Macaca fascicularis: one gene and its partners. The protein of the gene in region 1 interacts with the protein of each later gene in a pairwise test. Links are inferred from orthologs where the notes say so. Each region holds a gene or a part of one and is shown in the gene's direction. Other genes may lie near its edges. The genes, in order: HABP4, RACK1, C1QBP, YBX1 and CHD3.

Region 1 (5,932 bases):
TTTGGGGCATCTGTGACTTGGAAATGAGGCGGCAGTGCTCACAGGGCATGCTTTAAGAACTTACAGTGGCTGGTTATGCTGGAAGGAAGATAAGAAGAAAACGGGGGAGCAGGCTAACTCCAGATGCCCAGTGGGAAGACGACAGGCCCTTCTCTCACATGGCCATGATTCCTTGGTTTTGTGGTTTGGTGAGCAGTTTAAAGATACCAAAGATAACTTTAGCTTGAAGCAGGGCTTCTCAAAGTGTGGTCTCTGGTGCGTGGAGTGATTCTGGTTCATTGAGATAAATTTACTATTTTTACAAAAAAAATTTACTATTTTTACTAAATTTTACATGAAATGTACTATTTTTACAATTTTAAAGTGTATAACTCAGTGACATTTACTAAATTTACAATTTTGTGCAACCACCTCCACTATCTTGTCCCAGAACACTTCATCGCCCCACGGGAAACTCCCAGGCCCATTAAGCAGTTACTTTCCAACAGTCCCGACCCCCACGCCTGGCAACCACCAATCTGCTTTCTGTCTCTATAGATTCTGGACATTTCATATAAATGGAATCATACAACGTGTGGCCCTTATTGTCCGTCTTTCACTTAGCACTACGTTTTCAAGGTTCATCCATGTTGTAACAAGTATCAATACCTTTTTATGACCAAATAATACTTTTTTGTACCACATTTTATTTATCCATTCATCGGGTGACATATATTTTAGTTGTTTCTGCCTTTTGGCTATTGTGAGTAGTGCTGCTGTGAATATGTATATACAAGTTTTAGTTTGAACACTTGCTTTTAATTCTTTTGGGTAGAAAGTATAGGCATTAATCTTTGCTCACTCAAAAGGAGGTGACCAAATATCTTAAATTCTTCAATCATTCAACAAATATTTACTGAAAACCTACTCTATAGCCGTCTAGAACTCCAAGCACTGGGAATAATACATACTGCAATGAATAAGACAGGCATCATCCCTGTCCTCCTTGGGAATAACACAGAATTCAGTAAGTGAGTAAAACACAGACTTTGCCGCGTTTAGGATTAGGAATTCCTTTTCTATTTGCTATTAAAGGAAAGTAAAAGCTGGTCACAGAGCACCTGGCAAGATGCTCTAACTGGATGCTTTCAGATGAAACAAGCAAACACAACTAAGCGCAATCAATCTGTTATCTTACATCATAAGCCTCAAGCGGGGAGGTTCCCAAGTGGGTCCAGTTGGCAGCTTAACATCATCAAGGATCTAGGCTTTCTCCATCCTGCTCTGCCATCCTCATGGCCACACTAAGGAACAGCCAACCTCAGGCATCATATCTTCTTATGGAACAAGGACCAGGGAACGGAAGTGGGGCAGATCCCTTCTCAATCCCTTCTTAGGTGCAAGAAAAACTTCCCCAGAATACTTCTCCTCAGATCTGTTCTGCCTGATTTGCCCCACAGCCTATTCCTAAGCCAATTATTGGCAAGGAATTGGAATCAGGTGCAGTGAATTATAATCAAGTTGGAGGCTGGAAGGGGCCTGCTTCCCCTGGGGAATATGATGCCGGAACATAATACAGGCTCTGGAAAAATGTAAGAGGGAAAGAATGGCTGTAGGATAGGCAGCCAAGCGTAGCTCCACTGGTGCCTATGCAAGATTTCCTGGAGGAAGTCCAGTCCAGCGTTCTCTAAGCTCCAGGCCTCAACTGAACATCTCAAAAGAAAACAAATATCCAAACCTCAACGTGTCCAAAACTGAATTCATGATTCTCGTTAAAGTAGTGTCTTCCAGTGGTGACTAATACTACCATTCAGATGCTGGAGCCAGGAAAATAAGAGTCACTATATCTTCTTCTTCATCACCACATCTAGCACATCACCAAGTCTTTGAACCCATCTACTCTCTTCACCTCCACCGCCACCATCCTAATCCCAGTCATTATCAGCTCTTCCCTGGAGCTTCGCAACAGTCACGTTTGGCTTCCCAGCATCCATTTGTATTTCCCTCCAAACTATTAGTTCACTGTGCAGGTAGGGTGGCCTTTTCAAACCCAAATCCGCTCATGCTCAAAACTTGCTTCCCACGGCTCTTAGAGACCACTTTGAGCTTGAACAGACTGTGCACATCCCACCTCAAGACTGCTGCACTTGCTGTTCCTCCTCCGACCCCTTGTCACCCCCCTCCCTCGGCTTAACTGTCACTTCCCAATTAGGTCAGGTCCCTTTGCTGCAGCCCGTGGAGAGCTCTGCGCCTGTCCTTCAGGGCACTTTTTCTCCATCCACAGACTCAGATCTGTGACAACACGGAGCTAGTATTTCCTACAACATCACGCCTGGCACACGGTAAGTGCGCAATATGCAGCTGTTGCACGGCTAAATGTATACATAAGCTTCAAAGCAGAGTGGCCGAGAGCAAATACAGACGCAGTCACGGGAGAAGGCACACACCGCCGAGACACCACCGCCACTCCGCGCCGCCTGGACCAGCCAGTAGCTCCGCCCCTGGGCCCCGCCCCTCCCTGCTGAGCGGAGGGGGCGGGGCTCAGAGGTCGCGTGACGTGACAGCAGCCGGTCGGTGATTGGGTCTCCAGGCGCGCCGTCTCGGGAAGGGGGCGTGCCCGCGCGCGCTGATTGGCTGCCTGGCGCGGTGGGGCGGACGGCGGCGGCGCCGCGGGGGCGGGCGGCGGGAGGGGCCGGACCGGGTAGGGCCCGGAGGGCGGCGGCGGCGGCGGAGCGGGCGGCATGGGTCCTCGCCGCCGGCTTCGCTGAGACGCGCTCGCGTGGGCTGCCCTCCCGGGCCCGCAGTGGTCGCGGCGGCATGAAGGGCGCCCTGGGGAGCCCCGTGGCCGCCGCCGGCGCCGCGATGCAGGAGAGTTTCGGCTGCGTGGTGGCCAACCGCTTCCATCAGCTGCTGGACGACGAGTCGGACCCGTTCGACATCCTGCGCGAGGCCGAGCGCCGGCGCCAGCAGCAGCTGCAGCGCAAGAGGCGCGACGAGGCGGCGGCGGCGGCGGCCCGGGCCGGTCCCCGCGGCGGCAGGAGCCCGGCCGGGGCCTCGGGCCCCAGAGCCGGCGCGGGCGGCCGGAGGGAGTCGCAGAAGGAGCGCAAGAGCCTCCCGGCGCCCGTCGCTCAGCGGCCCGACAGCCCCGGGGGCGGCCTGCAGGCGCCGGGTACGCGGGGACGGCGGGGGTAGCGGGCCACGGCTCGCCCTGCGGAGAGACTGGGGTCCCGGGGGCCGGCTCCAGGAGGGGGGACCCGGGAGGAGCCGGGAGAGTTGAGGGTCCCGGTGGCCGCCGAAGGTAGGAGGAGCGGGGCGGGGGTCACACCCCTTCCAACCCTCGCCGGCCGCGTGCGGGGCCCCGGGGGAAACGCTGGCTTGGGGGGGTGGGGCCCCCGAACCCTGGCTCGGAGCCGCTACGGCAAGTTGGACGAAGTTGAGGGAGGTTGCCGGGGTGGCGTGTGGGGGCGAACGCTGAGGTCGCTACTCCGGGACTCCCGCATCCAGACCTGGCGGGGACCTTCTCCAGCCTCCAGCCCCGCCTCTGCGGGAGTGAGGTCGGAGCCACCCGAGAGCGCGGTGGGGAGGAGGAGGGCGCCCGGTCCCGGGGCTGGGGGCCTCTGTGATGCGGGCGGCCTGGGCGACCGCGGGGCGGCCTGTGACGTCGGGGCCCGGGCGCGGGTCCTCGGCGCTGTCCGGCCTGGCGCCTTCGCCCCTTCCCCGTCCGGTAGCTTCCAGCAGGCAGCGGGCATCGTATTTCAGTACTTCTTGTGGTGCTGATGGGATGTGCAACTTATAAATAGCTCCAGGCTGCTTTAAGAAAAGCGTTTTTAACCTTTCCAGCCAGAATATCCGGAGTTCCCCACTCTCTGTTTAGCAAGAAAAGCCAGTGCGCAGCGTGGTGTCCTGCTGCCTGCGGACGGGGAGGGAGTTCGTGCTCTCACCTGAACTGCGTCAGTGGCAGAGCCAGCAACGCTCCACCTGTGCTTCCTCTGTTTTCTTGAAATGAGGCAGCGGTCCCAAGGTTTGCAGAGCGTTAGGAGTGAGATGTGTAGATTGACCATTCCTGCCAACGCTTGGCGGAGTGTGCAGCGTGGCTTGCTGGTTTGTTCCTTGCTTGATAAAAATTGTGCATCGCAGCCCTGAGGAAACGTCTCAGGTTTCAGTATTGGGGCTTTGATGCGCAGCTGGGTAATGTTTACCTTTGTTTGTGAAAAGTTAAATCCAGAGTCATCACTTGTGAGAATCAAGTCACTACAATAAAGATGTTGAAAATGATTTAAAAAAAAAAAAAAAGTTATTGACTATCTCACGAGCCTTTGATAGGCCAGTAAATTTCTGAGCAGATTATCTAAACAGACTGGAGATACATTGTGCATTTTATATCCTGTTTTTTATGTTTTTCTCTTAAATTTATTTACATGAATATAATAAAAGAATTGAGGAAGGCTAAGCTTTTCTTCACCCTTTATTTTTTCACAAATGAAAATGCTGGGCGCGGTGGCTCACGCCTGTAATCCCAGCACTTTGGGAGGCCAAGATGGGCGGACCGCGAGGTCAGGAGATCGAGACTATCCTGGCTAACACGGTGAAACCCCGTCTCTACTAAAAATACAAAAAGTTAGCCGGGCGCGGTGGCAGGCACCTGTAGTACCAGCTACTCGGGAGGCTAAGGCAGGAGAATGGCATGAACCCGGGAGGCAGAGCTTGCAGTGAGTCGAAATCGCACCTCTGCACTCCAGCCTGGCGATAGAGCGAGACTCCGTCTCAAAAAAAAAAAAAAAAGAAAAAGAAAATACGTATTCTGTTCTTCAGAAAAACGTGAGACGAGTTAGTGCTGTTAATACATTGATTTTTAGCCTTTTAAAAATTGTCATGCATTTTTGTATTAAAAATTTTAAGCAATTCCAAAATGTATGAGGTTAAGTGAAAATCCTCTTATTTTTCCTACTGTTAACACTTTGCATTTATATACATAAATGCACAGAGCTATTTCTTTTCTTTCTAAACTTAAGTGATATAAACTGGGTTGCAACCTGTTTCCTGCACTTAATGTTGTCATGTAGTACACTTATAACTTTTTTTTCTGTCAGTTGTTCAGTCTAAGTGATCTGGCTTTTGAAATCAAAGGTATTTAGTTGATTTTGTAGTTAGAATGGAAATTTTATCATTCAAGTTCTTTTTCAAGTATGTGTTATTTCAGGAGCAAACAGCTCATTAATTTCCATTTATGTAGTTACTGTACTAAATTTATCTATAATGGGTGTCAAAGAGCTATTCTCTCAAGGTTTTATAGCCCTAGTTGATATGAAGCACTGTACTTTTCTAACATTCAAAATTTTTGATTTAGTTAGAATGTTGTAAGTGAATGCTTAGCATAGACAAAAATAAAACATGTTTGACATATCATAGAAATGTTAATCCTGAAAGAATGTGGAAGTCACAAGCTTTTCCTATGGAAAAGGGTTGTTTTTTTGTTTGTTTGTTTTGTTTTTTTTTTTGAGACAGAGTCTTGCTCTGTCGCCCAGGCTGGAGTGCAGTGGCATGATCTTGACTCACTGCAACCACCTCCTGGGTTCAAGCGATTCTCCTGCCTCAGCCTCCTGAGCAGCTGGGACTGCAGGCGCGCGCCACCATGCCCAGCTAATTTTTGTATATTTTTTACTAGAGGCAGGGGTTCACCATATTGGCCAGGATGGTCTCGATCTCTTGACCTCATGATCTGCCTGCCTTGGCCTCCCAAAGTGCTGGGATGTGAGCCACCGTGCCTGGCCTAATTTTTTGTATTTTTAGTAGAGATGGGGTTTCACCATGTTGTCCAGGCTGGTCTTAAACTCCTGACTTCAGGTGATCCGCCTGTCTAAGCCTCCCAAAGTGCAGGTGTGAGCCACGATGCCCGACCAAAAATGTAGATTTTTAAATGTCTATCTGTCTAGCAATATATATAAACCCTTGG
Region 2 (5,850 bases), on another chromosome or scaffold:
CTGCGGAGGAGCACAGCCAGGACAGCGTTCCGCGGGGCCCGACAGAGACTGCGGCGGAAGGCAGGGGAATCTGCCATGGACCAGTTGAGCAAGCTGTTTCAGGGAGGGATCCAGGCCTCTGCACACCTGGGCGTGTACAGCCTGCGGCAGCTCTGCCACCGTCCCTCGCCTGTCTTCTGCCTTTACGCAGGCTTTCTAGCAGACATTGCCAAGGTTCTTCTCCAGGCCTTCAAGGCCGTAGGTTAACTGCGCCCTCCATTTCACTGCTCTGTCCTCAGCCCCTCCACACTCCAGCTCAGTACGTTGGCACTAACTCTTCCCTCCGATTGAAACATTCTTCCCCTACACGACGTCCCTCCACGGAACATTATTCTCCCATATACCCACAGTGCTCTCTCCGTGTATCTGCTCCAATGTTCTCCCCTCTTCGCATACCGCCGGAAGTAAGCTGCAAATAAACCAGAGTCCCCCATCTGTCTTGTTCACAGCTTTGTCCCCAAAACCTAAAATAAGGCTTGGTACCCAAGAGGTGCTCACTAAGTTTCAGAACATTTACTCTGCCAGACGTTGTTCAGGGCGCTTAATTTGCTTCTTTACTGTCCACACCATGTAATGTAGATACTAATGTTATTTCCAATCTCATTTCACAGATGAGAAACAAAAGTTGATAGATGTCACAAATAGAAATGTGACATCTTTATTTTGCATAGATGTTGGTGGCTGCTATCATCCTGATATGTCCCCCTGTTTAAAACTACTTGAAGAGACACGGTGCCCAATACTGTCTCTTATAGTCAGATGTGAGAGAATGAGAGTCATTACTTGTTTAAATTCCTGAGGTAGAGTGGAAGGCAGAAGGACAGCTAGGTATCCGTATTCCACCGCTTCCCTGTCTGGGCACGTCCTTCAGGGTGCAACTGGACCCCCAGACGCCTGGGCTTTTGTGTGCAGTGACTGGGCCCAGAGAGAGCTTTCCAGTGGATGTCCCCAGAAGTCAGAACTTTAAGGTCCTCCTTTGGGCGTTTCCGTTTCTGCGAGAGCTTCCCGTGTTCTGACCTAGGCAGGAATGGATTGGCAGTCTAGCAACACACAGGGCAATTTTCACCTTATTATTTTATTGTATGTATGTATGTATTTATTTGAGTCGGAGTCTCGCTCTACTGCCCAGGCTGGAGTGCAGTGGCGGGATCTCGATTCACTGCAACTTCCGCCTCCCAGGTTCAAGGGATTCTCCTGCCTCAGCCTCCCGAGTAGCTGGGATTACAGGCACCCGCCACCACACCTGGCTAATTTTATTTATTTATTTATTTATTTATTTATTTATTTATTTATTGGAAAGAGGTTGCATTATGTTGGCCAGGCTAGTCTCGAACTCCTGACCTCAAGTGATCCACCCCCTCGGCCTCCCAAAGTGGAAGGATTACAGGCACGAGCCACTGCGCCCGGCAAAAAGAGACCAATTTTTAGTACATCCAGAGTAACCCTCTCCTGCCTTAGTCCAGCCTGGACTAAGTCCTTCCGGAGTTGGTGTGCATCAGAACAAAAACCTCTTGAGGGAGGACGGTCCCGCGGAAGCACAGTTTTAAAGTTTATTTTTAAAATTTTAATGCCATACTTTTTTAAATTGCCCATCGTTACCCACGATAGTGAACTGAAAATTAAGCTCTCCTGTGGTTGCCCCGTCAACCCTCCCCGCACCAAGTGGAACAGGCGGAGCTCGAGCTACGCCACATAGGGGCGGGGAAGCCGCCAGGGAGTCCTCATGGGAATGTGCCGTACACTTCACCTCTTTCGCTTCTCGCTCTACATCATCCCTGAGAAGCCTTTTTAAACACTTGAATGTGCTTGTTTCAGAATGTATTTATAAAGCGCTGTCAGATTATGTTGTACGGAAGTGGGGACTGTGATGCCGTGCAATTTCCCTTTGCCTTTTGCATTACATGGCGCCGCCATCTTGAGCAGAAGTGTATCATGGGGCTCGCCATTTTACTTGGTCGAGTGGGTATTTCCGGTTCCGGCAGAGGGCTTCTCTCTTTCACTGCAAGGCGGCGGCGGTAGCGGCTGTGTTGCTCGTTTCTCTGAGCCATCCAGTGCCATCCTCGTCGCTGCAGCGACACACGCGCTCGCCGCCGCCATGACTGAGCAGATGACCCTTCGTGGCACCCTCAAGGGCCACAACGGCTGGGTAACCCAGATCGCTACTACCCCGCAGTTCCCGGACATGATCCTGTCCGCCTCTCGAGGTACGGACTAAGGTAGATTTCAGGACCCGAGATTGCAGGGCTGGGGGATTCCGCGTGGTTCGGGCAGGCCGGTGGCGCGCGCGCTGTCGGGGACTGACAAACTTTTCTGCCTCACTGTGATTTGGGGCGTGCGGACGCGAGCCTAGGCCTCAGCCCGGGCGAGCCACATTGCAGATGAGGACCTAGACGTAGAGCGGCTCGTGGCTGTTAGGGTTGGAGAGCTGGAAACTTTTAAAACATCTTCTGCCTTCCCCTTCGTAGTGTGGTCGGGGGCCTACGGCCCGGGCGGGGCGGTGATGACCCCAACATGCCATCTGAGTGTCGGTGCTGAAATCCAGAGGCTGTTTCTGAGCTGCCGCCCGGCCCAAGGCTCGTGGGGAGGCGGGTGGACTCCAGAGGACCTCGTGGCTCAAGTCTCGTCCTACTTTTTCTGCCCCTGGGTCTCCCCTCCCCGTCCCTATCCCTGTGTGCCTGACTGCGTTTGGACACTTGTTGTGCTTCCCCTTTGCTCCTACACTGTTAAGAATTGTGTGACTCTTGAATCGTGTCTGGCTGTTAATCGTAAAATTGTTGAGTGGGACAGGTTTCAGTAAAAGCATCCGATCCTGTAGCGCCTAAAGTGGCTTTTCCAGCATTCATTATAACATTTCTGTCGGCCCTCAGAGGGAGGCATGGGAGGCCCCAGCTACTCTACAGCCACGAACTGCTGTGCATTCGGTTGCAGAGAAGATACGTGGTGGCTGTTGAGTTCGTCTGAGTTTCAGGAAAGGGTGTCTGTAATTTCTGGCACCTAAATTAAGTTCTCAGGATACAGACCGGGCACGGTGGCTCACGGCTATAATCCCAGCACTTTGGGAGGCAGAGGCGGGCGGATCACCTTAGGTCAGGAGTTCGAAACTAGCCTGGCCAATGGTGAAACCCCATCTCTAGTTTTTAAAAAAAAAAAAAAAAAGTTAGCCAGGCGTGCTGGGGGCGGCCTGTAATTCCAGCTACTAGGGAGGCTGAGGCAGGAGAATTGCTTGAACACGGGAGGTGGAGGTTGCAGTGAGCCGAGATCATGCCATTGCACTCCAGCCTGGGTGACAGAGTGAGACTCCATCTCAAAAAAAAAAAAAAAAGAGTTATCACGGTACAGTTTAGCTCTGCGTGCGTTTTTAGTCTGGAATAGAGCCACTCAGTCCTGGCCTGTAACTGCTCTTGTAGTCTGTTGTTCCATCCCTCCTTAAGCATCCTTAGTTGTTAACCCACTCATGACCTTGACACTTAGTGAATTATCCAGTGTGTTAACAAACTGGCTGCGGGTTCCTCACTGGTTTTTCTTCTGTTTGGCCGCTTTTAGATAAGACCATCATCATGTGGAAACTGACCAGGGATGAGACCAACTATGGAATTCCACAGCGTGCTCTGCGGGGTCACTCCCACTTTGTTAGTGATGTGGTTATCTCCTCAGATGGCCAGTTTGCCCTCTCAGGCTCCTGGGATGGAACCCTGCGCCTCTGGGATCTCACAACGCAAGTAGCTGCTCACTTAGCTCTGGGGCCTTGGGAAAAAATCTGGGCAGAAATGTGGTGGATGCAATTGGCTGGTTTCCCAGGGGAGATCCAGTCCATTTGGGAACTGGAAAGCAGACTGCACCTACAGAAGATGTTTGGCCTCCCTCGCTTTGAATTAGTTACTCAGGATTGCTGAGGAGTGTGGTTGAACATTTCTACCAGGTGCGACAGTTTTGAGTAGGCAGCAGTTTGAACATGTTTTACCTTGAAAGCTGAGGTGATTGGCAGGTGGAATTAGAGGGTCCTGGTGATGACAGATGACATTGTCAGCCAATCCCCATGTGGGAGTGAGGACATGTCCTGCAATTCTGAAGGGATTCTCTGTCATATATGTGTGAGTAATGCAATGAGACAGAGACAAGGCCCAGGAATCAGTCTGACCCTTGAATGAGAATGTTTGTTAAGTCTGAGAATGACAAAGTCCTCCCTCTTAGGGGCACCACCACGAGGCGATTTGTGGGCCATACCAAGGATGTGCTGAGTGTGGCCTTCTCCTCTGACAACCGGCAGATTGTCTCTGGATCTCGAGATAAAACCATCAAGCTATGGAATACCCTGGGTGTGTGCAAATACACTGTCCAGGTAAAGTGAGGCCATGGTCAGAGAGCACATCTCCAAGGATCTCTCCCACTCTCTTAACCTTTACTTTTTTTTTTTTTTTTTTTTTTTTTTTTTTGAGACAGTCTCACTCTGTCGCCCAGGCTGAAGTGCAGTGGCGCTGTGTCAGCTTACTGCAACCTCTGCCTCCCAGGCTCAGGTGATTCTGGTGCCTCAGTCTCCACAGTAGCTGGTGCTACAGGTGCGCACCACCAGGGTGGTCTCGAACTGAGCTTAGGCAGTCTGCCCGCCTCAGCCTCCCAAAGTGCTGGGATTACAGGCGTGAGCCACCATGGCCTGCATATCTTTACCCTTTTTTTTTTTTTTTTTTTAAAGACAGTTTTGCTCATTGCCCAGGCTGGGGTGCAATGACGTGACCGCAGCTGACCACAACCTCCGCCTCCCGAGTTCAAGCAATTCTACCTCAGCTTCCCAAGTAGCTGGGATTACAGGCATGCGCCACCACGCCTGGTTTTGTATTTTTAGTAGAGATGGGGTTTCTCCATGTTGGTCAGGCTGGTCTCGAACTCCCAACGTCAGGTGATCTGCCCGCCTCAGCCTTCCAAAGTGCTGGGATTACGGGCGTGAGCCACCGTGCCCGGCTCTCTGCCTTTTTAAAGTCTTGGCTGGGCTCATGCTCTGGTAGGCCAAGGTGGGAGGATTGCTTGAGGACAGGAGAGCAGCCTGGCCAACACAGTGAGACCCCATCCATAAAAATTTTTATTTATTTTGAGATGGAGTCTCACCCTGTTGCCCAGGCTGGAGTGCAGTGTGCGATCTTGGCCCACTGCAACCTCCGCCTCCCAGGTTCATGCCATTCTCTTGCCTCAGCTTCTCGAGTAGCTGGGACTACAGCATGCCCAGCTAATTTTTTTGTATTTTTAGTGGAGACGAGGATTCACCGTGTTAGCCAGGTGGTCTTGATCTCCTCACCTCGTGATCCGCCCACCTTGGCCTCCTAAAGTGCTGGGGTTACAGGCGTGAGCCACCGCACCTGGCCCTTTTTTGAGATAAAGTTTCACTCGTTCATTGCGCTGGCTGGAGTGCAATGGCACAATCGTGGCTCACTGTAAACTTCGCTTCCTGCGTTTAAGCAATGCTCCTGCCTGAGCCTTCCATGTAGCTGGGATTACAGGCACCCACCACCACACCCGGTGAATTTTTGTGTTTTTGGTAGAGACGGTTTCACCATGTTGGCCAAGCTGATGTCAAACTCCTGACCTCAGGTGATCCACTCACCTCGCCCTCCCCAAGTGCTGGGATTACAGGCGTGATCCACTGCGTCCAACCCCTGTCTCTAAATTTAAAAAGAAATTCTTATCTGGAATCTAAAGGGATTCTGTTGAGCTTAAAGGTTTGGGTTCTGGGTTTTTGAAAGGTGCTGCCAGCCATCATCTGGCTGGGGGGGGGGTCTAGCATTTCATGGGATAGGACTGTTTCCCCTTATTTCCTTTTCA
Region 3 (5,646 bases), on another chromosome or scaffold:
TTTTGAGAGTCTGGTTTTATTTGAACAGAAATAACTCTACAGAAAGCTCCTGTAAATAATGCTCAAATTTGCACTCGACGATCAAATCCATTAAAAATGAATCTTGTATATGATGTGTATGGCTTGTTTCTTGGGTCTCTTTTCCATTATTCATAGAAAATTATTTAGAAAATATTAAGTGTTAGTCTTATCATGAGTTAGTAAGACACACCTTCTTAGTAGCTTGTATATCCTGGGAAGGTAGGATTGTTGGTTCTTAATCTAAATCTGAACCCCATTTCTGGGTTCTATGAATTTAGTGGAGCAGCTCACAGAACTCAGGGAAACACTTTTACCAGTTTCGTATAAAAGATATGACCAAGGATACAGATGGAGATGAGCAGGGTGGGGAATAGGGAAGAAGCTCCGAGCTGCCACGTCCTCCCTGGGCCACCACCCTCCAGGAACCTCCGCGTATTCAGCTATCAGAGGCTCTCCAAACCCTGTCCTTGGGTTTTTATGGAAGCTTCTGGACCTATCTAAATGATACAAGCCGGCTTCTTGTCCCCAGAAAAATGATGTTCCATTAGAACTTGGATGCAGGGTCGGAGGTGCAGAGAGGGAAGGTCACAGAAATTACTCATGGATCCTGCCCTTCAGGATGTCACAGTCTGGTTGGGTTTAACCCGGTTAAAACCAGCAATGCCAGGAGGTTTCTGTTGAAGAGAATGAAGCCTAAGGGCTGGGTGCGCACAAGCATGAGTTCTAAGCCGATGGAAAAAAGGAGGTTCTAGGAAGGCCTCTTTCAGGAAAACCCTGACCTCTTCCTTTGCTCTTACAACAATCAGCACAGAAGAGTTCTGTGACCAAAGGTTTGGGTTTTTTCCCTCCACACTAAGCAGCAGACACCAGCGGGGTGTCCTCCAATTCAATCCCAACATTATCTACCTGGAGACAGTGTCAGATCCCATGAGACAGTGTCAGATCCCATAGGTTGAGGGCTCAGTCCCCAAGACCGCCCCGACCTTCAGACAGCAATGGCAAGTCTGGGCCTCTGAAACTTCCGACCAGCCCGCTTCAAGTGGGGGTTCCCACGACCCCCCTCTTTGGGTTGTATTAACTCACTGGAGCAGCTCACAGAACTCAGGGAAACACTTTTACCGGTTTCATATAAAGGATATTACCAAGGATACAGATGAGGAGATGAGCAGGGTGGGCAGTGGGGAAGAAGCTCCGATCTTCCTCGCCGTCCCTGGGCCACCACCCTCCAGGAACCTCCACGTATTCAGCTATCAGAGGCTCTGCAAACCCTGTCCTCATGGGTTTTTATGGAAGCTTCTGGACATCAGCATCCCTTCCCCCAGGGCATAGGGTGGGACCTTCTCTGGGAAGGGACTTAAGACCCATAATCAGAAATGTGGGAGATTAGAGTCCTGCATTGGGGCGGGTGAAAGGAGGGCGGGAGAAGGGGAGAGTGAGAGTCTGTTTCCTGAGGCCTAACACACCCAACATTATCACAGAACACTGTAACGAGGGCTATGGGAGTTACGACCCAGGAACTGGGGATGAAAACCAATAAATACATAATATAACACCACAGCCTCCTAGAGGAAAGTGACCGTGTAAGGGGCTGGTGAGAGCTGGGGGAAGACAAGAGTGCATTCCACACAGCCCAAAAGCCTGGCGTGCCTTGAAAACAGTAGGTGGAAGCGGCCACTAGAAAGAATTAAACAGCTTCGGACAGAGGACTCAGGCCAGCGCAGCAAGAAGGCTCCGGAAACCGGATTCGAGGCTTCCCGGGCTGCACCGGAGGCCTCCAGCAGAAGGCGCGATTCCGCCTGGGGCCTTAGGTCCTCAGTGCGCCGGCGCGGGAAGCGCTTCCGGGCAAGGGCGGGGCTTCCGGCGGCGCTTTAGGTCGCGGGGTACTTGGGCCTGGATTGTCCTTTGCATCTGCACGTGTTCGCAGTGGATTGCGCGATGCTACCTCTGCTGCGCTGCGTGCCTCGTGTGCTGGGCTCCGCCGTCCCCAGCCTCCGCGCTGCCGCGCCCGCCTCGCCTTTCCGGCAGCTCCTGCAGCCGGCGCCCCGGCTGTGCGCCCGGCCCTTCGGGCTGCTCAGCGTGCGCGCAGGTTCCGAGCGGCGGCCGGGCCTCCTGCGGCCTCGAGGACCCTGCGCCTGTGGCTGTGGCTGCGGCTTGCTGCACACTGAAGGTGAGGTTCGCGCACGCGGGCCAGGGGTGTGGTTTGCGGTTCACGGAGGGGAAAAGACCAGGAGTGGGGCCTGCAACCGACCTCCGAGGTCTGGGACATTTTTCCATTGATTGGCAACCAGCGGGTTAAACCCACGTGTGATCATATTCCCCCCACCTCCCCTATCCACCAGTTTCATTTTCTGTTGGTAGGGGGGTGAATAAAATTAAATACTAGAGGGTACCTTCATCCTTAGTCTTATTCTCTCGAAAGTGGACTTTTGGGAAAGCCCAAGGTCGTGTTTGAAAATAGCATACGATACAACTATCGTTTGGCAAGTGGAAGAGGATGATCGGAAATTCTTCTGCTTTATAGCGGAAAGTGGTAATGCGTTCATTGTTGGAAATCACTTTTCCAGCATCAGGCTCAGCTTCCCACTAATATTATGGTATTTTTACAGATAAGGAAACTGAGGCTTCTAGAGTAACTGTAATAGCAGAGAGATTAGAAATAGTCCAGGTTTCTGGCTGCGATAACCAGGGTAATAGTTTTATGTTTTAGACTAACTGGCTTTCCTTTTTATGTATATGGATTTCTTTTCTAGGAGACAAAGCTTTTGTTGATTTCCTGAAGGATGAAATTGAGGAGGAAAGAAAAATCCAGAAGCATAAAACCCTCCCTAAGATGTCTGGAGGTTGGGAGCTGGAACTGAATGGGACAGAAGCGAAATTAGTGCGGAAAGTTGCCGGGGAAAAGTAAGTACTGGTCTGGGGATCCCAGGGCACCGACTCCCTTAACCTTGCAAGACCCGTCCTGGGTCATCCCTAGAAGAGCCTTGAGTTCAGGTGTGGATAAATGGTTTTCAAGAGAGTGAAGGATTCAATTGGACAGCTTCATAAGGTCCAGGCAGTCCATTCACTGAACACAAATTTGCTGTGGGCTGGTTACTAAGGAGACAAAAATGTAGCGCAAAAAAGTACTGACAGAATCTGTTTGATCTCTGATTTACAGCGCTGATACAGTAGCACCCTGCTCTCTCTAATGTTTAGCTTGGGTGAAAATGCAAGGCATGTAACTTATATGTAACAGGATGGGGTTCCACTGTAGTAAGGGCTGCCATCAGAGGCGGGGAGTTTGTGACCTAAGTCAGGTGCCCCACCTTCTCCTAAACTGTTAGTGTTTACACTTTTCTGCATTATAGTCATCCATAATCTCATTACACAGATAGACATTTGTCATCTTCCAGATTTTTAAATTGAGGCTGGGTGCAGTGGCTCACGCCTATAATCCCAGCACTTTGGGAGGCAGAGACGGCAGATCATGAGGTCAGGAGATCGAGAACATCCTGGCTAACACTGAAACCCTGTCTCTACTAAAAATTTTAACAGGGTGTGGTGGCAAGCACCTGTAGTCCCAGCTACTCAGGAGGCTGAGGCAGGAGAATCGCTTGAACCCCCGGGTTTCAGTGAGCCGAGATGGCGCCACTGTACTCCAGCCTGAGGGACAGAGCAAGACTCCATCTCAAAAAAATAATAAATAAATAAATAAATTGAATTTTCTTTATAATTGACCTTATGATGTATATGTAATTCTTTTTTAAAATCACAGCTTTAATGTGATTTAATTTATATGGCATAAAATTTACCCATTTATTGAAGTTTATTAAATTAAGTGGTTCTTAGTCCTCACAGAATTATGCATCGGTTACCACTACCTAATTCTAGAACATTGTTGTCAATCCCCAAACAATACCTATTAGCAGTCACTCATTATTCCTCCCTCTAGCCACCCCAGGTAATCACTAAGCTACTTTATGGATTGCCTCTTTTGGACATTTCATATAAATGGAATCATACAATTTGTAGCTTCCTCCCCACCCCACGGAGTCTTGCTATTACCCAGGATGGAGTGCAGTGGCACGATCTTGGCTCACTGCAGCCTCTGCCTCCCGGATTCGGACAATTCTCCTGCTTCAGCCTCCTGAGTAGCTGAGATTACAGGCATGCGTCCAGTTAATTTTTGTATTTTTAGTAGAGATGGGGTTTCGCCATGTTGGCCAGGCTGGTCTCAAACTCCTGACATCGTGATCCGCCCTCCTCGGTCTCCCAGAGTGCTGTGATTACAGGTGTGAGCCACCCTGCCCAGCCTGTTTACATTTTTAATTGTTGGGTTGTAAGAGTTCTTTAGTTTTGACCGGGCACGGTGGCTCACACCTTTAATCCCAGCACTTTGGGAGGCCGAGGCAGGTGGATCACAAGGTCAGGAGATCAAGACCATCCTGGGTAATGCAGTGAAACCCTGTCTCTACTAAAAGTACAAAAAATTAGCCAGGTGTAGTGGCGGGCGCCTGTAGTCCCAGCTACTCAGGAGGCTGAGGCAGGAGAATGGCATGAAGCCCAGAGGCAGAGGTTGCAGTGAGCCGAGATCACGTCACTGCACTCCAGCCTGGGCGACAGAGTGAGACTCTGTCTCAAAAAAAAAAAGAATTCTTTAGTTTTTCTGGGTATAGTGATCTTACCAAATTAATGATTTGCAAGTATTGTTCCCCATCTTGTGGGTTTTCTTTTCACTTTCTTTGTAATGCCCTCTGACACAAAAGTTTCTGATTTTGAGGAAGTTCAGTTTACCTATTTTTTTGGTTGCTTGTGCTTTTTTTAGTGTCACATCTAAGAAACCACTGCCTCGCCCAAGGTTGTGAAGATTTATGCCTTAATTTTTTCAGAGTTTTCTAGTTTTAGCTCTTAGTTGAGGTCTGTGATTCATTTTGAGTATGATGTGAAGTAGGGTACCAATTCTCTTGGCTATTGTGTAGTGTGGTTTTTCCCTACACAGGTCAATTGTGTCTTCTGTAATCTCACCTAAAAACCATTTGCACAAGGTTTTCATAGCTATTTGGGGGCCATTAAAAATAATGCTCTGACGAACATCATTCCATTTCTGTGCCCAGGAGCTCAGCTTGGTCAGCACAGTTGGAATCAGACAGATTGTGTCAACCTCAGACTGCCTCTGTTACTATGGAAAGGTGACTTCCTGGCAAAGCAGCTAGTTAGCACAAGTCGAGGGGGCGGTACTTCATGGAACTTGTATGGAACGGTGCCTGCCAGAGTTGCATAGTCCAGCAGTTCTGGTTCTAAACTTTATCTCCCAGGAATTTTGACTCAAACTTTGGGACATGATTTCTCAGGTGTGGATTCTTGCACCTTAAAATTGTCGCTAGTTGGTGTCTCTGGCCTGCTTTGTGATGATAAAACTTCCCACAAGTACTCTGAAGGATGACTGTCTACTACAGCCGTTTTTTTCTTTGTGAGGCATCCGCTTCCCGAGGCCAGGGCTGCTCTCCGTGTTTAACAGATGCAACCCTCCATTGCTCCTTCTTCCTTTCCTTGCAGGGCAAATTTTCTTATGGGGAAAGGCTCTTAAAGGGGCTTCTGTTCCATCTCACCAGCCTCCCAGGTCCTTACTTTCACCAAGGGTTCCTT
Region 4 (5,143 bases), on another chromosome or scaffold:
GGTTGTACTGATTCACAAGGTGCCACCAATAGCTTTCATTTTTTTGGAAGTGGTTTCAACATGTAGTTGTTTCCTGGGACTTTGGCTGCTCAGGTCTTAGTGGTGTATCAAGGAGACTGCAGTTCTGGGCAGCTTCACTTAATTGGCCTCAGATTCGTTGGTTGTCCTGTCTCCTCTGCAGTGGAAATGCGTGAGTGATCCTGTAATGGATATAGCTGGGATTTGGAGTGAACATGGAATTTGGAGACCCAATACCTGGGTTTAGAAAGTCTCCTTACTAACTGTGTGACCTTGGGCAAGTCACCTAACTTTAAAGCCTGTTACATTATCTGTAAAATGGGATTAACAATACTTTCACATGTCCTGTCTCATAATGAGATTGAATAGGTAGTAAGTGAAAGAATATTGCAAAAAAATTTCATAGAAACGTGAGATGTTACTCTTCCTCCCTTCTAACAGTCTGAGAAGTAGAAGCAACAAGTCTCTAATACAAGATTTATTGAATGCTGGAGAGGTGATAAGTAACAATTCCATGCAGTCAGATCATATAAAGAATGACATAGTTAATACACGTGAATTGCATTTCCACTGACGTATTATCAGATTGGAAGGGATTTGGGTTGACATTTGTAATTGAGTTTGATATGGTAACACAGGGGCAAAGTTGGTTTGGTCAGCTGTGAAGCATGCAAAACCCAACTCGCCTGTCATCTAAACTGACCCATGTGGGGCCACCTTCTACTATTAAGTGCAGTCTTTAGGGGATAGATGGAGATCCTCATTTGTTCAAAATTACATATAATGCTTTTGCAAAAAGCAGTTTTTAAAATGTTGTGTCTGTCTTGAGTGTTAAATTACTTGTTTTAGTTTTGTAAATAGTGGTAAAATGCTGGGGCCTTGTATGATTGGAGTGTTTTTGTTGAAGTTGGGGATAGCGTGGTCCCTGCTTTCCCAAATTTATTGATGATTTGGTCTTATTTAAAGCAAATCTTAAGTGTATATCCAAGCTAAAATAATATTGACTCTGGTACATTTTAAATGAAAAAGCACATTATTCTCCCCTGTTAATCTGTTTTTGGAATGTGATATTACTAGACTGCCATAAAGAAGAATAACCCCAGGAAGTACCTTCGCAGTGTAGGAGATGGAGAGACTGTGGAGTTTGATGTTGTTGAAGGAGAAAAGGTGAGGATGCTTTTTGTGTAAAGGTTTGACTTCAGTATGGAAATATTTTGGAGGTCTCATCTGTTAGGATGGTGGCTCTAATGTGGATGGATGTGTTCAGGTGACCTCATGAACACAGGTGCATCAAGCCTAATGTTCTGGCTGCAGTTAGAGGGCAATCTCTTCAGAACAGTGAGGAACTGATATTTAGTCATTTCTGTGCACCCCTGGCCACGCAGTCGCCCACCCCCCTTTTTGTTTTCCTTAACTTTGTTTTTTGCTTTGTTTGAAATTTGTTGAAAGTGTTCTGATTTCCTTTGTCACTATCAATATGTAATGGCTTTTGTAGGGTGCGGAGGCAGCAAATGTTACAGGTCCTGGTGGTGTTCCAGTTCAAGGCAGTAAATATGCAGCAGACCGTAACCATTATAGACGCTATCCACGTCGTAGGGGTCCTCCACGCAATTACCAGCAAAATTACCAGAATAGTGAGAGTGGGGAAAAGAACGAGGGATCGGAGAGTGCTCCCGAAGGCCAGGCCCAACAACGCCGGCCCTACCGCAGGCGAAGGTTCCCACCTTACTACATGCGGAGACCCTATGGGCGTCGACCACAGTATTCCAACCCTCCTGTGCAGGGAGAAGTGATGGAGGTAAGTTTCACCATCAGCAACAGCAATGTGATAAGTTCTGGTAGGACTGTTTAGAGCTGTTAATCATATGGAAAGCACCTTTGATTCCTAGTAAGAACTAACAGGATTAATTTATAGTGTAGTCACAGTTACTAGATGGTCTGATTTTTTGTTTGTTTTTTAACTCTGGATTTCCTGGTAAGGTTATTATGTTACTGACCCAGTAGCCTTGATTTCCATTATCTTTTTCAGGGTGCTGACAACCAGGGTGCAGGAGAACAAGGTAGACCAGTGAGGCAGAATATGTATCGGGGATATAGACCACGATTCCGCAGGTATGGTCCACATAAACCTCTGTTAGAACTCAGCAATATCATGCCTCTCCCGCAGACTTTTGGACTCATTTTTCTGTTAACACTTCACGTTTCCTTTCATCAGATGCCTAAGAGGTGAACCTGTTAAAAACAGCTCATATAGATGAGGTCAGCTTTATACATAAATTTTTTTTTTTAAATGATGAGGGTATGGAATTTCAAATTTTCTATCCTTGAACAGGTAAGATAATATTTTAAACCACGTCTTTTAAACCTGCCTCCTCGGTAGGGAGAAAGGAAAGCATTAGGAGTATCTGAATTGTACCATGGCATTAGTGAAGAATCAGCAGTAAGTGTTAACCACTTGAAATGGCATACATAATCTTCCACTAATTCTTAGTTTAGGTATGTACCCCCCCTTTTTTGGAGTTGGGATGTCAGCTCAAAGTTGCAAAATGAAATTGCTCCATGAAGAATTTACATTCTGGGAGGAAAAATCTGGTCTATCATTAGACAACTAATCTATCTGCTTGAATGGGTATTAGAAATCTTATTAATAGATGTCATTATTAGAGTAATGGAGGAAAAATTCCGTGAGCCAAGCGTATTTTAGTCCATGCTGTGGTGTGCTTTAAGGCAGCGTTCCCAGTCCCACGGTGGTAGGATAGAATGGTGTAATCGTTCTTTCTGTGAGGGTTTGCTATTGAAGTATTAAGTTTTCATAGGTGATCCCTAAAATCTGACAGGTACCTCTGAAGAATCAAACCAATACAGTAATAATGCATCTTAACTGATCACTTAAATCACAACTTTTAAATCCCCAAATTTTTAAGTGTCAAGTTTATTATTCTAGAAGTATCCAACATATCCAAAATATACTGTGAGTATATTTTGAGGGGGTTTCTGTATATAGGTTTTTAAATTTTACAAAAGTCGGAGCACTTAGTGTAGTTTTAGGAACTAGGGAATCTAGTTGAGGTTGTATTACATACTTATCAGCACGTGTACATTGAGAGTTTTGCAAGAGCAGCTGATGTCATCATATTTCTTGTGTTAATATATGTCCTGTCCTGAGTTTTCAGTTAAAAGAGCTGGGATCCTAACTGATCACTACTAGAATTGAAGATCTCTGATTCAGTTTTCTGCCAGGAGATTGTGTTAGCCAGATGCTGGATGTTGAAGATAGATGGGTTTTTATTTTTCAAAGTAGATCTAAAATAGGCTCTCATGTATTAAGTCCATGGGTTCCAGCAGCAGAATCTTTGGTTTACCTTTTTGTTACACTGAAGAGCTTAAATGTTTTGCCAAACTAGTTTCATAGATGTCCTTAAAAATAGTATAATATTGTGTTTGTATTCAGTACTTCAGTTCACTGTTGAGCAAATTGTTTTTATATTGACAAACAAGAAGCTTGAGATTGACTTGTCTCTTAGAAAGGTATCTTTATCCATTGTTACCCCTCCAGTGCAAAGGTTTTTGCCATTTCATTTAAGTTAGACTTAATGTCTACGTGTTTCCATGTTTAGAATGCTCAATCCTGCCAGATAGTTAGCAGAAGTAACATATAATTGCTTTGAAGTTATTAATGAATGCTAGACTTTCCAAACTCTGCAGGAATCTTTTGTTCAAATGAGAGTAAATGAAACATGCTGCGCCTAATGCATGGAGTGGTGTGGTAAAATCCTGGCTGGTGTGGGTTCAAGAGCAAATTGAAAGAGAAGTCTTAAGACAGAGTGTAGTACAAGTTTTGCTGAAAAGGAGACAGGTAGTAGGGGAAAATGGGGAGTGAAAAAGGGAGGGTTTTTTTTGAGAAATAATATTTATAGGCTGAAATGCAATCGAGGATAACGGTTGATGGCAGGAAAGTGACTGCTGGAATGTTTTCTTCCTCAGAGAGAGTTGGGTTTTGCCCACAGGTGAAAATGTTGACCTGTTGTTAGAAACCTGATGTTTTCATGTGTAAGAAACAAGAATACATGGGCAAACATGTTTAATGGGAAGACATGGAAGCCTTTGTTTGCTCAATTGAGTCAAAAGAAGAGGAAGTTTGAAAAGTTTGGGGCAAAGAACCCTGTAGCAGAGAAAATAGAGATGGTAAATTTGTAAGTAATAGGATAACAATCATAAATTAGAAGTGAGTTCACCCAGCTTGGCTCTGTGTTTCTAGCCATTTGAGCATCAGGCTCAGATTGGGCAGAGAGTTGGATTTCTCTGGCATTGGTTTATCCAGACTTAGACCCTGGGGTAGGGATTGGTCATATGATTAATGGTGGACTTTATACTTGGATAAAGAGGGGAGAAAAGGGGAACATGAGGGGTTTTTAAAAATTGTGTTGTAGACATGGAGTTGCACTGTGTTACTCAAGCAGTCTTGAACTGCCCTCAAGTGATCCTCCCCAAGTGTTAGGATTACAGGTGTAAGCCACTGTGCCCAACCTTGGAGTGAGATGAACAGGTGATAGGATCGCTGTATTACAGGTCCTAGATGAAGAATGAGAAAACAATAAGGAATTAACTAGGAAAAATCAGAAGGTACATAATTGGAAAGGTGGGTAGTATAACTGAGAAAACCCAGGTAGAAAACAGCTGGACTGGGAGGTCGGTCTGAAAGCCCAGGTTATTAGAAGCTGTTATCCTCGAACCTTAATAATAACTGCAATAAGAAAAAGATAGTAAATGGAGCAGAATCCAAAATAAGATGGAACGCCTACAGTTTTTAGAAGCTAGGAGAGTTGATTTAGAAGCCACAATAAGGTTAGAACAGTCACCACTGGAGGGTTACAGAGAAAAGTCAGAACAATTTTGTTGAAGATTCATCATGAGTTCCAAAAGATGTGGGGAAAGAGTTTTAGAATGTACAAAGGTAAATGTGAATTTATTCCCATGATAACTGATAGATACTAAAGGCCTGGGGCTTTCTGGAGTGCTCAGGGTATGGGTGAAGGAAAGGCCAGGAATCCATCGTTTCTGAGCACTGGGGGAAAGAAAATCCCAAAATTTAGTATCTTTATCTTGGTGATTAAAAGACGCAACC
Region 5 (5,635 bases), on another chromosome or scaffold:
CTTTATCGGCGTCGGCGCGCGCCGCATCCGCGGCAAACCCGGGCCTCACCAGGGTCCCAGGCCGTTCCTACATCAGGAAAGGTCTGGGTCTAATGACCCTCGAGTCAAGAACAACCCTGACGGCTGCCCTCCTTCTTACTCGGCCCAAGGACTTGAAGCCCGGCATCTTCCAACCTGCCCTGCCCCCACCCCTGCCTGAGCGGAGTCCTAGCATCCCCTTGGGAGCAGCAGCGTCAGTGGACCCAATGCTGAGGAAAGCCCCCACATCCCGGAAAACCCACTTTCCTTTCACTACCCACATCTCAATCCTGAACATCTGGGCTGGAACCTGCACACCTTCCCCTCAGCCCCGTCGTGAATGGGACAACAATCTCGTGCCCTCCTTTTATGGTGCAGCTCCTCCAGTATTTCCGGGGCTGGGGGGCGGGGCTGGAGGGGAAGGAGTGTCCACGCATCAATAAAGATTTAACGAACTCAACGTGCTCTGCAAACACAGGAGTGGCACAAGTACTATCACCCCTGCCCTGTGCCGAGGAACAGGAAACATGTGCCAGGGCCACAAATGAGCAGAGAGGAGCATCCTTCAGCCCCCTGGCCTTATCGCTTTTGTCCGTTCTTCCTGGCCAGAACTCAGAGATCTGTCCCTGACCCCAGGCACCTCCCCATCAATAGAGTGGAGGGGGCCCAGCCTCGGCCGCCTGCCCCTGCTCCCCTTGGGGACCTGAGCCCGTTCTCTGACCCCAGCTTAAAGGAACTCGGTGTTGCCAGGCCGGGGTGGGAAACAATGGGCCTTCCGGAGCAGGATGACACCCCCTCCCGCCACAATTCTGGAGCAGCAGCGTGGGAGGGAAGATGCAGGGGCCCACCCTGGGGCCTGTTGGTGCATCATTCAGCCCTGTCCCCCATCTCTACCCCTGAACTTGAGAGAACCTTTGGCACCCCTGGACATCCCGGTTGGTAGAGGAGGGTTGAGGGTGCTCCCGACTTCAGATGAGTCCTTTCCTCTAGGGGTGGGGTGTCCTATCCCTGTACTGGCATCCCAGCTACACACAGACACAGGTCCATTCGGTCGTAAGTTTAATGAAGTCTGAAAAGTATGCGCCACCGTGGTCAGAGATATGGAGGCCCGGTCAGACTCTCCCTCTGCACCTCAATGGAAACGATGTGGTGTCCGGGTACCATGGCCAAGCCCAGCACACGGGGCTCCCCGGCAGAGAAGGAATCTGGAAAGAAGGATCAGAGGATCAGGGAAGCAGGCCGGCATCAGTACCGCCCCTCTGAGCCACAAAAACGAGCCCCAGAAAACAAGGGCTGCAGCCAGGCCCTGAAGGGGAAATGCCTTGCGTAAGGTTCCGCCACATTTCCAGGCGGGTGTGCATTCCCCAGGCACTGACCCGACGGCTTGAGGAACTCCTGCGCCGAGCCCAGGATGACATTGCAGTCACGGTCAGTGCAGAGGAAGCAGCCCACCAGTGTCCGTCCATCTGTCATGCGAATGCGCATAGTTTTGTTGAGCAGCGCCTCTAGCTGCTGCCGGGCGCGCGCAGCCGCCGAGTCCTCGCGCTCTCCGTCCGAATCCTGCGCGGGGTGGAACAAGCGCTCAGACCGCGCAGTCCCGGCTGCCCGCCCGCGGAACCACAGCTCCCGGCAGCCCGCGGGGCGCTCACACAACGCCCAGAGGCTGCCGGGAGCTGCAGTTCCCCCACCCCCTCCATCTTGCTGCTCGACTGCCCCTCAATCCCAGAACCAGAGCCCGTGCTAACCCCGGCGCTGGAGCTGCTCTGACGCCGACTGCAACAGCCATTCTCTTCTCGTAGCAGCACGGTCGGTCCAGCTCCGGCCATTTGCCCGGAGGCCTCCTCTGGGCCTTTCAACTTCCTAAGCACCTTTCAGGTTGGGTGGTCCGAGATCTCGCGAGCGCTCCCGACCGCTTTCCTTTCGCGAGATCACCTCTCCTCCACCTCCTAGTCTCCTCGGCAACGGCAGAGATCTCGCGAGCTTCTCCTACTTCTAGCGCTGTGGCTCACTGAAGCGTACCACGCCGGATGTCTTACGATATCGCGAGACCTTTACCTCTACTTTCTTACACATCCTTTAGAAACTCTGGAATTTAGCGAGAATACACTCTCATACTGCCTCCTCCCTTGTTTTTCTGTCTCAGAGAGATAGTCTGTCATAAATATCCCATGTAGCCCAGGCCGCTAAATTAAAACGGAGCGTATTCGTTTTCTGCCCACCCCCAACTCCTGAAAGCGGCGCAACTCAATTACTTGATCCTTATATGCCCCGTGTGGGACTCATACTACGTTTCCCGTGAACACGTGCGGTCCAAGCCTCACCCCCTGATATTTATCTCAGTGGACGGTGGCCGGAAAAGGACAATGGTTTCCATGTCAGCGGATAAACGCTCTCCCCTCGGCTCCCGGAGGCGACGGAGGTCGTAGTAGTAGTGAGTGCGTGCTGAGGAGCAAAGGAGTAACCAAGAGAGCCAGTGACTGACAGAGCAAGAGCCATGCCGCGCCGGGGCCTGGTGGCTGGGCCAGATTTGGAGTATTTTCAGCGTCGCTATTTCACGCCGGCGGAGGTGGCCCAACATAACAGGCCCGAAGACCTCTGGGTATCTTACTTGGGACGCGTGTACGACCTAACGTCATTGGCACAGGAATACAAGGGTAAGGGTCACACGTTGGGCCGGGGCCGGAGTGTGTGTGTGTGTGTGTGTGTGTATGTGTGTGTGTGTGTGCGGGCGCGCGCGCGCGTCTGCCTGGTTCTTGAAGGGCTGGCATTGACCGTGGCTGCTCTTTTCAAGGGAATCTGCTGCTGAAACCTATCGTGGAAGTTGCAGGCCAGGACATCAGCCACTGGTTTGATCCAAAGACCAAAGACGTGAGTTATGCTGAAATCTGGGGTTGTGGGTAGAGGCAATGGAGAGCGGGGATGGGAAGGAAAAGCGGAGGCTAGCCAGAGCATAATGACTGCTCTGATCCCCTCGCCCCAAACCCTCCTTTAAAGATCCGCAAGCACATAGATCCGCTGACCGGCTGCCTGAGGTACTGCACCCCGCGGGGTCGCTTTGTGCACGTTCCGCCTCAGCTGCCCTGTTCGGACTGGGCCAACGATTTTGGGAAGCCCTGGTGGCAGGGGTCGTATTATGAGGTGGGGCGGCTGTCTGCCAAGACCCGGAGCATCCGCATCATTAACACACTCACGTCGCAGGAGCACACACTGGAGGTGAGAACTGGTGACAAGGAGCAGGTTAGAGGGAATGGGGAATCCCAGCAAATCTCCAGGCCGATCTGCAGGGCAACATTTTTTTCCATAACCAGTGGGAGTGTATTTTCTGCCCTTTACATTGAGGCAACTGAGGAAAGCACAGCACCTAGGTCCCCAGGGTTGGTAATTCTAGGAGTGTCTGGGTCACACGGGGACAAGAGACTCCTTTATAAGCCTGGGAACAGCAGTTTATGCATCTTAGTGATGGTGGTCCTTCAAAACTCTTACACGCTGTTTTGGACAGCAATTGAACTTTCTTTTTAATCTACTCTATTGCACGGATATAGTGAGGGGACACTTGACCCTTTATGGCCATCTGGTAGTTAGAAGTGGCTGCCATTAAGAGCTGTAGGTCTTTTGGGCCTGTTCATTGCATGCTGGAGTTTCAGCTTTTTTTCTGGGGCCGTAGATTACCTGAAGCTGCTATCTGCCAAGGGAGGCACTTTGATCCTAGTGTGTATATGTGTATACTCCATCCAGAATTCTGGGGGTGGGGTGCTTCTGTGTTCTCCAGGTGGGGGTTCTGGAGTCCATATGGGAAATCCTACACCGCTATCTCCCCTATAATGCACATGCTGCCAGCTACACGTGGAAATATGAAGGGAAGAACCTGAACATGGATTTTACCCTGGAAGAGAATGGGATCCGGGATGAGGAGGAAGAATTTGACTATCTCAATATGGACGGTACACTTCACACACCTGCAATACTTCTGTACTTCAATGATGATCTCACAGAGTTGTAGGAAAGGAGACGTACACTCATGTACACTCAAGACATATTTCGAGTTTGGCTTTTTCTGTGCCTTGACGAAAAGTGGTGGGGCGGAGGGGTGCCTGGGCCTAGATCTCCATTCCTCTCTAGCAGCTAGCCTGTGCCCTTCTGAAGTGTAAAGGTCCTATTCCCTGCCTTCATTACAATTTGCTCTGAGAAAATCAGTGAATTAATCTTTAGGAATGATACAAGAAGATCAAGTATCTTGGTTTAGGGAGATGTAGAAGAGGATAGTCAGAGTTCAGGCAGAACTGTTTGATAGTTAAGAGAGAGTAATTCTACAGGGGTGAGGGATGGAAGGACTTTTTTGGCAATGATGGAAATGAGATGTCTGCAGGAAGATGGGAATTACAAAGACAGGAATAGGAAATGTTTATCATTGACCACACAAAGCTGGCTTATCTTACTTGTAGAATAGTATTTGGCAGCTGAAACCCAAGGGAAAGAAAGGAAGTGAGTCATTATAGGCAATTCAGGCTAGATATTATGCTGGGTACTTCATATACCCTCTCCCCCCAACCCCCACAAAGAGAAGGGGTCTTGCTCTGTCACCCAGTCTGGAGTGCAGTGGCAAAATCATGGCTCACTGCAGCCTGGAGCTCTTGGGCACAAGTGATCCTCCCACTTCTGCCTTGAGTAGTTGGGACTTTGGGTGCACGCCACAATGCCTAATTTTTTAATTTTCTATAGACACAGAGTCTCACTGTGTTGCCCAGGCTGGTTTCAAACTCCTGGGCTCAAGTGATCCTCTTGCCTCAGCCTCCCAAATAGCCTCTTCAAGGCAACTACCCTGTAAGGTGGATTACTATTTTACAGATAAGTCCTTTGAAACTTTGAAAAGTTTAATAGCTCAAAGGCACACTAGGTAGTATCACTAGAGCCAGAATGCAAATTCAAGTCTACCCAACTCCAAAGTCCATGTTCTCTCAATATAAAGGGACCATCTCCATGTCTAATCTCATGTTAACATTTGTAACCACTGTTCTCAGAGCAAGTATTTGGGATGTGGCTTTTTCCTAGGCTCCTTGCACAATAGGAAACTGTGGTCCTATTGTACAGTTAGCAGTTATTGTCTCTGGGAGTTTGCAGAGTTCTCCTGTGGCGAAGAGGAGGCAAGGAAGGCTAAGTGTCAGCTAAGCAATAGCTATTGGGGCTACTTCCTTGTTAATCCCATACCCCAAATTTCTTTCCTGACCTTTTTGGGGCAAAGAGGTGGGTATTTACTAACTTGAAGGAAAACTAGAGTGGGGAAAAGGCCAGCAAATTAGTGACACTTTGGTGAGGGAGAAAAAGGAGGCAGTTTGCCACTTGGAGAAGATGAGGAAGACAGGGTTGCAAGATGGTGACTCCAAAAGAGAGAACTTGACAGGGGTAATGTAAAGAGAGATGTTAAGTCAGTCAGAAAACTCTCCTGGTGACCAAAAGAGAACCACTATTGGGGGCAGCGGCTAGATTTGGTCTCCTTTAACTTAAGGAGGGGAGATTTGAGAATGACAGGCAGGTGAACTTCCTGGCAGCAGCAAGCGAAACACAAATCAGGAGGAGTTCAGTGTGCCTTCTGGCAGGGGCATCAGGGCCCAGCGCAGGA

The links.
Region 2: the proteins of HABP4 (region 1) and RACK1 interact in a two-hybrid assay, tested with the Homo sapiens proteins (2 studies listed by BioGRID). The link is inferred for Macaca fascicularis from reciprocal best matches to the Homo sapiens genes HABP4 and RACK1.
Region 3: the proteins of HABP4 (region 1) and C1QBP interact in a two-hybrid assay, tested with the Homo sapiens proteins (2 studies listed by BioGRID and IntAct). The link is inferred for Macaca fascicularis from reciprocal best matches to the Homo sapiens genes HABP4 and C1QBP.
Region 4: the proteins of HABP4 (region 1) and YBX1 interact in a two-hybrid assay, tested with the Homo sapiens proteins (2 studies listed by BioGRID and IntAct). The link is inferred for Macaca fascicularis from reciprocal best matches to the Homo sapiens genes HABP4 and YBX1.
Region 5: the proteins of HABP4 (region 1) and CHD3 interact in a two-hybrid assay, tested with the Homo sapiens proteins (3 studies listed by BioGRID and IntAct). The link is inferred for Macaca fascicularis from reciprocal best matches to the Homo sapiens genes HABP4 and CHD3.

Annotation. Positions count from the first base shown.
Region 1 is NC_088389.1:126,614,676-126,620,607, reverse strand, and holds the start of HABP4 (intracellular hyaluronan-binding protein 4), read left to right. Parts: upstream 1-2,663; 5' UTR 2,664-2,796; coding exon 2,797-3,148; intron 3,149-5,932. UniProt on the Homo sapiens protein: Ribosome-binding protein that promotes ribosome hibernation, a process during which ribosomes are stabilized in an inactive state and preserved from proteasomal degradation.
Region 2 is NC_088380.1:188,336,343-188,342,192, reverse strand, and holds the start of RACK1 (small ribosomal subunit protein RACK1), read left to right. Parts: upstream 1-2,030; 5' UTR 2,031-2,134; coding exon 2,135-2,243; exon of another isoform or gene 2,244-2,255; intron 2,256-2,530; exon of another isoform or gene 2,531-2,598; intron 2,599-3,582; coding exon 3,583-3,754; intron 3,755-4,036; exon of another isoform or gene 4,037-4,115; intron 4,116-4,230; coding exon 4,231-4,378; intron 4,379-5,850. UniProt on the Homo sapiens protein: Scaffolding protein involved in the recruitment, assembly and/or regulation of a variety of signaling molecules. Interacts with a wide variety of proteins and plays a role in many cellular processes.
Region 3 is NC_088390.1:5,501,496-5,507,141, reverse strand, and holds the start of C1QBP (complement component 1 Q subcomponent-binding protein, mitochondrial), read left to right. Parts: upstream 1-1,861; 5' UTR 1,862-1,956; coding exon 1,957-2,188; intron 2,189-2,771; coding exon 2,772-2,922; intron 2,923-5,646.
Region 4 is NC_088375.1:192,171,558-192,176,700, reverse strand, and holds part of YBX1 (Y-box-binding protein 1), read left to right. Parts: intron 1-1,095; coding exon 1,096-1,185; intron 1,186-1,513; coding exon 1,514-1,816; intron 1,817-2,047; coding exon 2,048-2,130; intron 2,131-5,143. UniProt on the Homo sapiens protein: DNA- and RNA-binding protein involved in various processes, such as translational repression, RNA stabilization, mRNA splicing, DNA repair and transcription regulation.
Region 5 is NC_088390.1:7,921,880-7,927,514, forward strand, and holds the start of CHD3 (chromodomain-helicase-DNA-binding protein 3), read left to right. Parts: upstream 1-2,375; 5' UTR 2,376-2,512; coding exon 2,513-2,672; intron 2,673-2,809; coding exon 2,810-2,886; intron 2,887-3,012; coding exon 3,013-3,231; intron 3,232-3,787; coding exon 3,788-3,959; intron 3,960-5,635. Other genes in the region: TMEM88 (transmembrane protein 88), read left to right, coding at 150-461; NAA38 (N-alpha-acetyltransferase 38, NatC auxiliary subunit), read right to left, coding at 1,111-1,223, 1,395-1,578, 1,764-1,844.